Linked DNA regions of Mus musculus. The main gene of each other region encodes a partner of the protein of the gene in region 2 in a complex. Links are inferred from orthologs where the notes say so. Each region holds a gene or a part of one and is shown on either strand. Other genes may lie near its edges.

Region 1 (4,442 bases), on a different chromosome or scaffold from region 2:
GGTTTGGCTGTTGGCTGTTCTGCAAAGCACTCTTCTGTGTCTTGCAGGTTTAATCCCCCTCACTAGTGATGACATTGTGGACAAGCTGCAGTACTCCCGGGTATGTGTGCTGGTGGGAAGACTGGGGCCACGGGGAGGGGCCGGGGGATTGTTCTCCCTGGAGTCTTCCGGGGTGTCTCCCTTCCAGTTGTTGTGGCTGATGGTGGAGATGATGTCTTAATAGTGTGGTCCTTGGTTCTGATGGAGCATCGGATTGCTCTCAGCACATCCAGGCGTCATCAGTGAGCCTCAAAAGGGAACACACGGGTGGGTGTGGTGGCGCACGCCTTTGATCCCAGAGCTTGGAAAGCAGAGGCAGGCGGCTCTGTGTGAGTTCCAGGACAGCCAGGGCTGTACAGAGAAACCCTGTCTCAAAACAACAAAAAGAGTCCGGGAAACATACCCACTTTTACGTACGTACAGGTCTGCCTCTGTGTCTGAGCAGGTGGGCTAAGGTGAAAAGAGGGCATCAGAGCCCCCGGAACTAGTTACAGGCAGTTGTGAGCTACTGGATTCAGGTTCTGGGAACTGAGCAGGAGGTACTTCTAACAGCTGAGCCATCTCTCCAGCCTCCATTTATTCTTTTCGGTTTTGTTTTCGTTTTTAAGAGAGTCTCACTATGTTGTTCTGGCTGGCCTTGAAGTGAAATCTGCCTGCTCTGCCTCCTGCATGCTGTGGTTATTAAAGGCATGTGTTCCCATGCCTGTCTGAGAAATGTTAATAAAACACCGTTTATTTTTTCCTCTGTAGTTAGTAGATGTTAATGCTTTACTACATTTGCCTGATTTTCCTCTAACCTTTTAGATAATAAGTTGCACGTGCTCTACCCTTCCCTTCTACATACTTGAGCGCATGTCTGTGCTGTAATCCTCTATGGCTAGGTAATCCCTCCCCAAATAATCTAAAACTTGAAAGGTGTTTCGGTTTTTTGGGGTGGTTTGTTTGTTTGTTTGTTTTCCTGTTTTTCCCTTCTTTGTATTTTCAGTTAATTGCCAAGCTGGTCTGCATAAACAGGACTATATAGTCCCATACAACCTTGGTCCCTTGAGATGACCTCTCTAGGCACTGCTATATTAGGAGTGGGCCCCCTAGTGGTCAGCTGTAGCAGTGAACATGGAAAGGAAGTGTAGTTAGTTATCCTGAGGTGAACCAGATGTCACAGCCCAGAAGGGCTGGGACCGTGGTCACCCCTTTTCACCAAGAAGAATCTGGAAAGAGCTGGATAGGAGAAGCAGAGAGTCCAGTCTCCTCATCCTAGCTGTCCTCCTGCCTCAGGACTGCACATGTGAAGAGTTCTGCCCTGAGTGTTCTGTGGAGTTCACTCTCGATGTGAGGTGCAATGAAGACCAGACGCGCCATGTCACCTCCCGAGATCTCATCTCCAACAGCCCCCGGGTTATTCCGGTTAGTGTCTTTGCCCTTCTCTGCCTGCCTCCAAGTGGGACAGATTGGAGTGGGTCTTTATGAGGCAGATGCTAACCTACCCTGTGACCATCTACGTTAACTGCCACCTAGACGTGCTGGTCCTGAGTTCCTGAACAGAGCAGTATTAGTGCCATGTGCCCTATGTTGTTCAAAGACCCCATTAAAGGCCTCTGGGTTCTTTGGACAGCTCTGCCATCTCCTTCTTCTTCTCAGCCTCCTTTCCCCGGATTGACGGATTATAGGCTGCATTTGCTGAGAGACAGTTGCCAGAGGTGACTGAGAGGTGAGAGGCTAATGCATACTTGTTTGGGCTTCCTACAGGTGACATCTCGGAACCGGGATAACGACCCTAATGACTATGTGGAGCAGGATGGTAAGGGGGTGGGGCGGGGGGGTGAATGGGGGTGAGGGGGTGGGGCAGGGTGGTGAGGGGGTTGGGCAAGGGTGGTGAGGGGGTGGGGTAGCATGATAAGAGGTGGGGCAGTCAAGCGGGTGGCCAGAAGATGCAGAGGTCAGATGTGCCCCTTTGAGTTGCCTGGTATCTTTCATTCATCTTTGGACCCTTTGCCAAGATGTGGATTGTCTTCATGCAGTACTACAGGTCACAAGTTGGAGAACTTGCCTCTTTTTGTTCTGGCTCACTCTCACCTCTCCCTGCAGACATCCTTATTGTCAAGCTGAGGAAGGGGCAGGAGCTGAGACTTCGAGCCTATGCCAAGAAGGGCTTTGGCAAGGAACATGCCAAGTGGAACCCTACTGCGGGGGTAGCTTTTGAATACGATCCAGACAACGCACTTAGGCATACAGTGTATCCCAAGCCTGAGGAATGGTATGTTCCTGGGGGGAAGGGGAAGCAGCAGTGGCTGTAGTGAGCGATAGGTGGGTAGTGCTCTGAGAGCCTTGCTACAAGCAGAAGTAGCCCCTGTGCCTCACCTGTGCTTGCCCTCAGGCCCAAGAGTGAGTATTCCGAGCTGGATGAGGATGAGTCGCAGGCTCCCTACGACCCCAACGGCAAGCCAGAGAGGTAAGACCCCAGGCCTGCTTGCGACTGTAATTGTAAATAGAGGTGTGGGAGGCTGTTAGGCAGTCACACACCCAAGCTCACCACACCCCACCCCATCCCCCACCCTGTGATAGAAGAGCTAACTGCCAAACTCACATACACATCTTGAGTTGGTCTTCCTTCCTCTCCGGTCACTGTGAGGAAAGGGGCCTTATTAACCCCTGCTGTTTCTGGCCTTCCTGTTTGGGCTCAGGCCAGAGCAAGACTGACCATAGCCCTCCCCTGAAGTGCTGAAGGGCTGTAGCCAGCATCGTGTTTGGTTTTTCCTGCTGTCTCTGGTGTAGAAATGCACATAGAGTCATCTTAGGGTTTGTACAGCAGTGCTCTTTAGAAGTAGCTGGAGCTTCCTCGGGGAGCTGTGAAGTGGATCTGGACCATTGCGCATAAGGAGTCTCAGGAAAAGGGAAGACCCTGTCCTGAGCTCAGGGCCTCATAGGAATGGAATCAAGTCTCAGAGGACAGAAGGGAAGTCTGCCCGAAGCCGGAGCTTTGCCTCACGAGAGCTCTCACCCCACTCTCGTCTCTCAGGTTTTACTACAATGTGGAGTCGTGTGGCTCACTGCGCCCTGAAACCATTGTCCTCTCAGCCCTGTCGGGGCTAAAGAAGAAGCTGAGTGATTTACAGACTCAGTTAAGCCATGAGATCCAGAGTGACGTGCTCACCATAAACTAGCCACGGCTCGCCTGCCTCCGAAGACTAGGTTCACGGTGGCTGGACTTCAGGCCTCGGGAGCCCTTGTAGTTTCTGGGCTATGCACTGCACAGTCTGCCCCCTGGAAGGCCATCGGGGAGATGGCCAGGGTCCCACTGGTGTTAGACATGGCGGGTTTTATTAAGCGTTGAGCATCCCGGGCCCTACTGTAGTGGTTTTCAGGCAGCATGGGGGGAAACACACACCAGCACGGAAAAGAAGGAATATTTATTGATCAACAGTAGTTGTCTTTTTAAAAGTTTTTATTTTTGGCAATAAAGAGCACAACATAATCTCCTTCATGCGTCATCGTGCCACTAACTGAGCCAGTTTTGCCTCCCTCCCAAAGGGTTGGGCCCATTTCTTGTACAAACTAGCTGACCTCTGGGTGGTCATTTCCTGGGTCACAGAGTTGGGCTGGCTGTGCCACCTCCCTGGCTCTAGGGCACCCCCTGGGAGGGGCCCCTTATCATTCTGCCACACATGTGAACAGTGGTTATTTACAAGGTCTGTTCCCACAAATCAGAACCCTAAAGTATTAAAAAACAGAAACACGCAACAAAAGGTTTGATGTGAATAGAAAGATAGCCCTTCTGCACGGTAGTCAATAAATACCAGCACTAGAAAATCAATTGCTTTAATTGCATTTCAGCAGGGAGCCTCAGCACCGTGTGGGGAGATAGGAAAGTCTTAGTTTTGGAATCTGGCCTGGGGTGGCTGGCCTGGGCAAGGGACTCCCCCTGCTGGAGCTTTATACCCCTGGTCAGTGAAGGAGAGCAGCAAGGTGCTCCCCACAGCAGTCCTGCTGCAGTCCTCCCTCCGGGCTGGCCCCAACTGTCCTCTGCTGCCGAGGTAACGGGAGCCCTGCCCAAAGACATCTTCAGCCTACTGAGCAGGAAGGGGCCAGTGCAGAAAGTGCATTTAAAAACCAGATGCCGCCTCTGCTAAACACTCCCAAGTGCAAGGCTGCCACACGGTACAGTGAAGTTTAGGACTCTTCCTGTGTCACTGTAGGCCCAGAGGACAGAGCTACCTGCTGTCCTGGCCCTTGGGCTTCTGAGGAAGAGCCAGCAGACAGCACCAGTCTGATTGTCCCCCTCCTCTGACCCTGGCAGCTCAGGCCATCTTGGCAGCAGGAGAGTTGTATCACTGAGGACAGGCACTGCCACCCTCATACTCAAAAACAGCCTTGACCATGCCTGGTCGTGGAATTAAAAATGGGTA
Region 2 (3,649 bases):
GTAAGATATGCATTTATTCACTACTGAAGACTAAAAATTCTTAGAGATAGTAAGAATTATAAGATAATTATTTAGTTAATATAATTAGGAGAGGATCTTTTTTAACACTCTAGATTTTATTCCCCTCCCAGTCCTCCCTCTGACTGTTCCCCATTCCATACCTCCTCCCTGCCCCCCTGTCTGCACAAGGATGTCCCTACCCCACTAGACCCCTAAACTCCCTGGAGCCTCCAGTCTAGGAGAGGTTTTAATAGTGTATGGTACAAGTTCATAAACTAAACACATGAGGTTACTCTTAATAGGATTACCGATATGAGTAAAAGATAAACATTAGTTGAAATAAGTTTAATGGAACAAGAATGGACATGTCTTTAGACTTTTATTTCTATTTGAAAGTAACATGCAATCTAAGTAATTTCAAATATTTTTTTTCCCTTTTAGAAATCAAGGAAGGACTGAGGTAAGATTATTTATATGAAAAATTTACTGAAATCATGAGCTGTGCATGGTGCTACATTCCTGTAATGCCAGCACTTGGGATGAAGGGGTGGGTGGATCAAGAGTTCAAGAGCATCCTTTGCTGCATTGCATGTTCCAGGCCAGCCTGGGCCACCTCAGATCCTGTTTCTTAAAGATCAGCAGCAACAGCCAAACCACAGTGAGAATATTTAGTTATTTGTAGTTGTTTGCATTCTGGAAAGTTCCAGTTGAAATGAAAATATCCTGATGGTCATGAATACATACAGGTGTTAAGTACTCCTTGAAGGAATGAAAGGGCCTCGAAGTTCATTTTGAACCTGTTTCCCTTTCAGCACTGTGAAACAGAATACTTTAGCATTACTTCTGTGGGACAGAGACATTTGGTGTGGAATTTTGAGCATGTTAGATTTTGAACCATTGAGTCTAATTCATACTATGTATATGGTACCTATCATAATAGTAGCTGTATAGTCAATTCATGATCTTCCTGTCTAGTTAAAAAATTATTGATTTTCAAAAGATGGCCTAGTCGGCCATCACTGGAAAGAGAGGCCCATTGGACACACAAACTGTATATGCCCCAGTACAGGGGAACGCCAAGGCCAAAAAAAAGTGGGAATGAGTGGGTAGGGAAGTGGGGGGAGGGTATGGGGGACTTTTGGGATAGCATTGGAAATGTAATTGAGGAAAATATGTAATAAAAAATTATAGATTTTTATACATATTTTTAATATAATAGTTATTCTTTAGGGGAGTAATGGCATATGGAATAGATCATTTAGAAAGAATACTTTCTATACTTTACAATATTATTGAAATTATTTTTTAAACGGCATATTTTAAAGTATTTAAAAATAGATATCATATATTCATACAATAGCTGTTAATGTAAAAATGGAGTTTATTCTATGCATTGACTGTTTAAGGTTTTTAGAGTAACTAGCTTGCTCCTTTTATTTTTCAAGTGCAGTTGATTTTTCAGTATAAAAATACTTACTCAGCTTTTCTTCTATGTGCCAAGCACATGTTAGGTCTTAGGGATGTGTCACTAAAAAAGTAACTTCAGTCTTGTTCTAGAAAGACTTCTTGAGCCACAGACTAGAGAAGACATTGGTAGACAAGCTTCATCATTATGACACGTGGGGATAAACCTTCTGTTTATGACTGAGATTAAGGATTTCATGGTGACATTTAAGAAATAAATAATTAAGAGACTCACATCTTTAAAAAGGTTTTAAAAAATAATTCACAATCAAAATGTTTGTATAGATATTTTGAATATAAATGTCTGTTTTAGTAAGCTTTGGTTAATTTGGCCTTTAGGTATCATTTACTTTGAACGAGGATCTTGCAAATATTCATGACATCGGTGGGAAACCAGCTTCAGTCAGTGCTCCTAGAGAACACCCATTTGTCTTGCAAAGTGTTGGCGGACAGACATTAACAGTGTTTACGGAGAGCTCCTCAGGTAAGGGGGACAGAATTATCCACTATGGTGCCCGTGTGTATTGTATAGACTTTCTGTACCGGCCTGCACACCTATTTGCTTTGTTGGAAACACCACCTACTGTTTTGTCTACCTGTGTGTCATGCCACTTTTCTGCTCTCGTAAGGTTTTTTTGTTTTGTTTTGTTTTTGTGATGAAACGTTGACCATCCCCTGAGAAGAGCTAATTCCCCTGGGTATAAACGTAGAGAGCAGAACAGATGGAAGAGCTGCTCTCTAAGAATCTGAGTCCTGCCAAGCTAAGGCAGCCCTAACTGGCTTTGCTGAACTAATATAGAGCAAATGTAAGTTATGCTTTAAATAGCGCTTAGTATTAGGGAATCAGTTAGTTTGCCTTCCTGTGCTTGTGTGCTTTGTGTTTTGAAAGCCTTTATATTTTATAAAGATTAGCTTTTGTTGGCATTAGCTTCTAGAAAATTCTATGAATGAGTGATGGTTTTAAACTGTGTGTGATAGCAGTGTGGCCTTGTAACAGTTCAGTAAGCCAGTCGCAATCCGTTCAGTTGCTACTTAAATAAGGAGGAAACTTCTGCTGCCTTGTTTTCCTTAGTTTTTTACTTTTATCTTGTACTGAATTTAGAACATTGCTATTAAAGCAGCACCCACCTCTATTCAGTAGAATTAATTTTCTCCTATCCGAAAGGTTATTGGTTATGTAAAAGAAAAACATTAATATTGTTGGATCGTAAACATTTTAAAGCAAGCTGTAAGCTATGTATACTAAGAGAATGTTGCTGTTTAAAAAAAAAAAAAACCTCACATAGCACTTTTGTCATAGCTTGGGTTTTAGTAACCGTGTGAACTGATCTATTCACTTTCCAGAACCTGTGTACACTGTTGGATTTCCAGTAGCTGCATAAACTGATGTAGTCTTCTTTTCTTTTTTTTCTCCTTGATGAGTATAAAACAATGATGAGTATAACTTTGGGGACATGAAGCCGGAGCTAAAGGATTAATTTTGCTTTTATTACTTTGATGCTATGTTAATTTGTTGTGTGTTAGAGAAATTTTAAAAGTGATTGTTTTTTCTTTATCGTAGCTAGCTCCCAAATAAATGAGACAGAAACTATAAGATTTATTAGCAAGCTGTACGGCACAATATCCGAGAAGTTATCAATTCTAATCCTCTGAGCTAATCTGGCTACCTCCTAACCAAAATCCCCAAGATACTTGCATCTTAGTGTGATCTGCTCTCTCTGCTGTGAGCGTGTTCTCATGGTGTCTCCTGGGCCCTCTTCATGTGGTGAATCTCTTCCTCTCTTGCTACCCCTCCCCAGGCTGGGATCAGAAGTTCCGCCTATTCTCCCTTTGCAGTCATTGGCTGATCAGTTTTAGAATAAATGGGGAGAAAAGTGTATACAAACCTTGAGAGGGGAGATTCTTAGAATAAGCATTACAATGCTGTGTCTGGATTGCAATCCAATGTGGGGGCAGAGAAATCAGCATTTCAATAATACAAGGATAATCTTTACACAGTGTACTATAACATTATGCCTACAGGGTGTAGAAAATACACATTTGTCTTGGAAGGGACTCTGCAGGGTCAATAGCTGTTTATATTATGTTAATTGTTCAGGACACAGCGCATGGCGTACAAGCAGTCTGAAGTCAGTCTTTGAAATGATGGGGTTGAAGATTGTTGGGCTTGTGAGGCGTCTAGGAC

Evidence for each region. The genes of interacting proteins can lie anywhere in the genome.
Region 1: Gtf2f2 (region 2) and Polr2c share a complex: the UniProt entries of both Homo sapiens proteins name them as parts of the TBP-based Pol II pre-initiation complex. The link is inferred for Mus musculus from reciprocal best matches to the Homo sapiens genes GTF2F2 and POLR2C.

Annotation. Positions count from the first base shown.
Region 1 is NC_000074.6:94,860,397-94,864,838, forward strand, and holds the end of Polr2c (DNA-directed RNA polymerase II subunit RPB3), read left to right. Parts: intron 1-47; coding exon 48-100; intron 101-1,314; coding exon 1,315-1,443; intron 1,444-1,785; coding exon 1,786-1,837; intron 1,838-2,124; coding exon 2,125-2,293; intron 2,294-2,413; coding exon 2,414-2,488; intron 2,489-3,055; coding exon 3,056-3,200; 3' UTR 3,201-3,846; downstream 3,847-4,442. UniProt on the Homo sapiens protein: Core component of RNA polymerase II (Pol II), a DNA-dependent RNA polymerase which synthesizes mRNA precursors and many functional non-coding RNAs using the four ribonucleoside triphosphates as substrates.
Region 2 is NC_000080.6:75,993,720-75,997,368, reverse strand, and holds part of Gtf2f2 (general transcription factor IIF subunit 2), read left to right. Parts: intron 1-441; coding exon 442-460; intron 461-1,803; coding exon 1,804-1,948; intron 1,949-3,649. UniProt on the Homo sapiens protein: TFIIF is a general transcription initiation factor that binds to RNA polymerase II and helps to recruit it to the initiation complex in collaboration with TFIIB.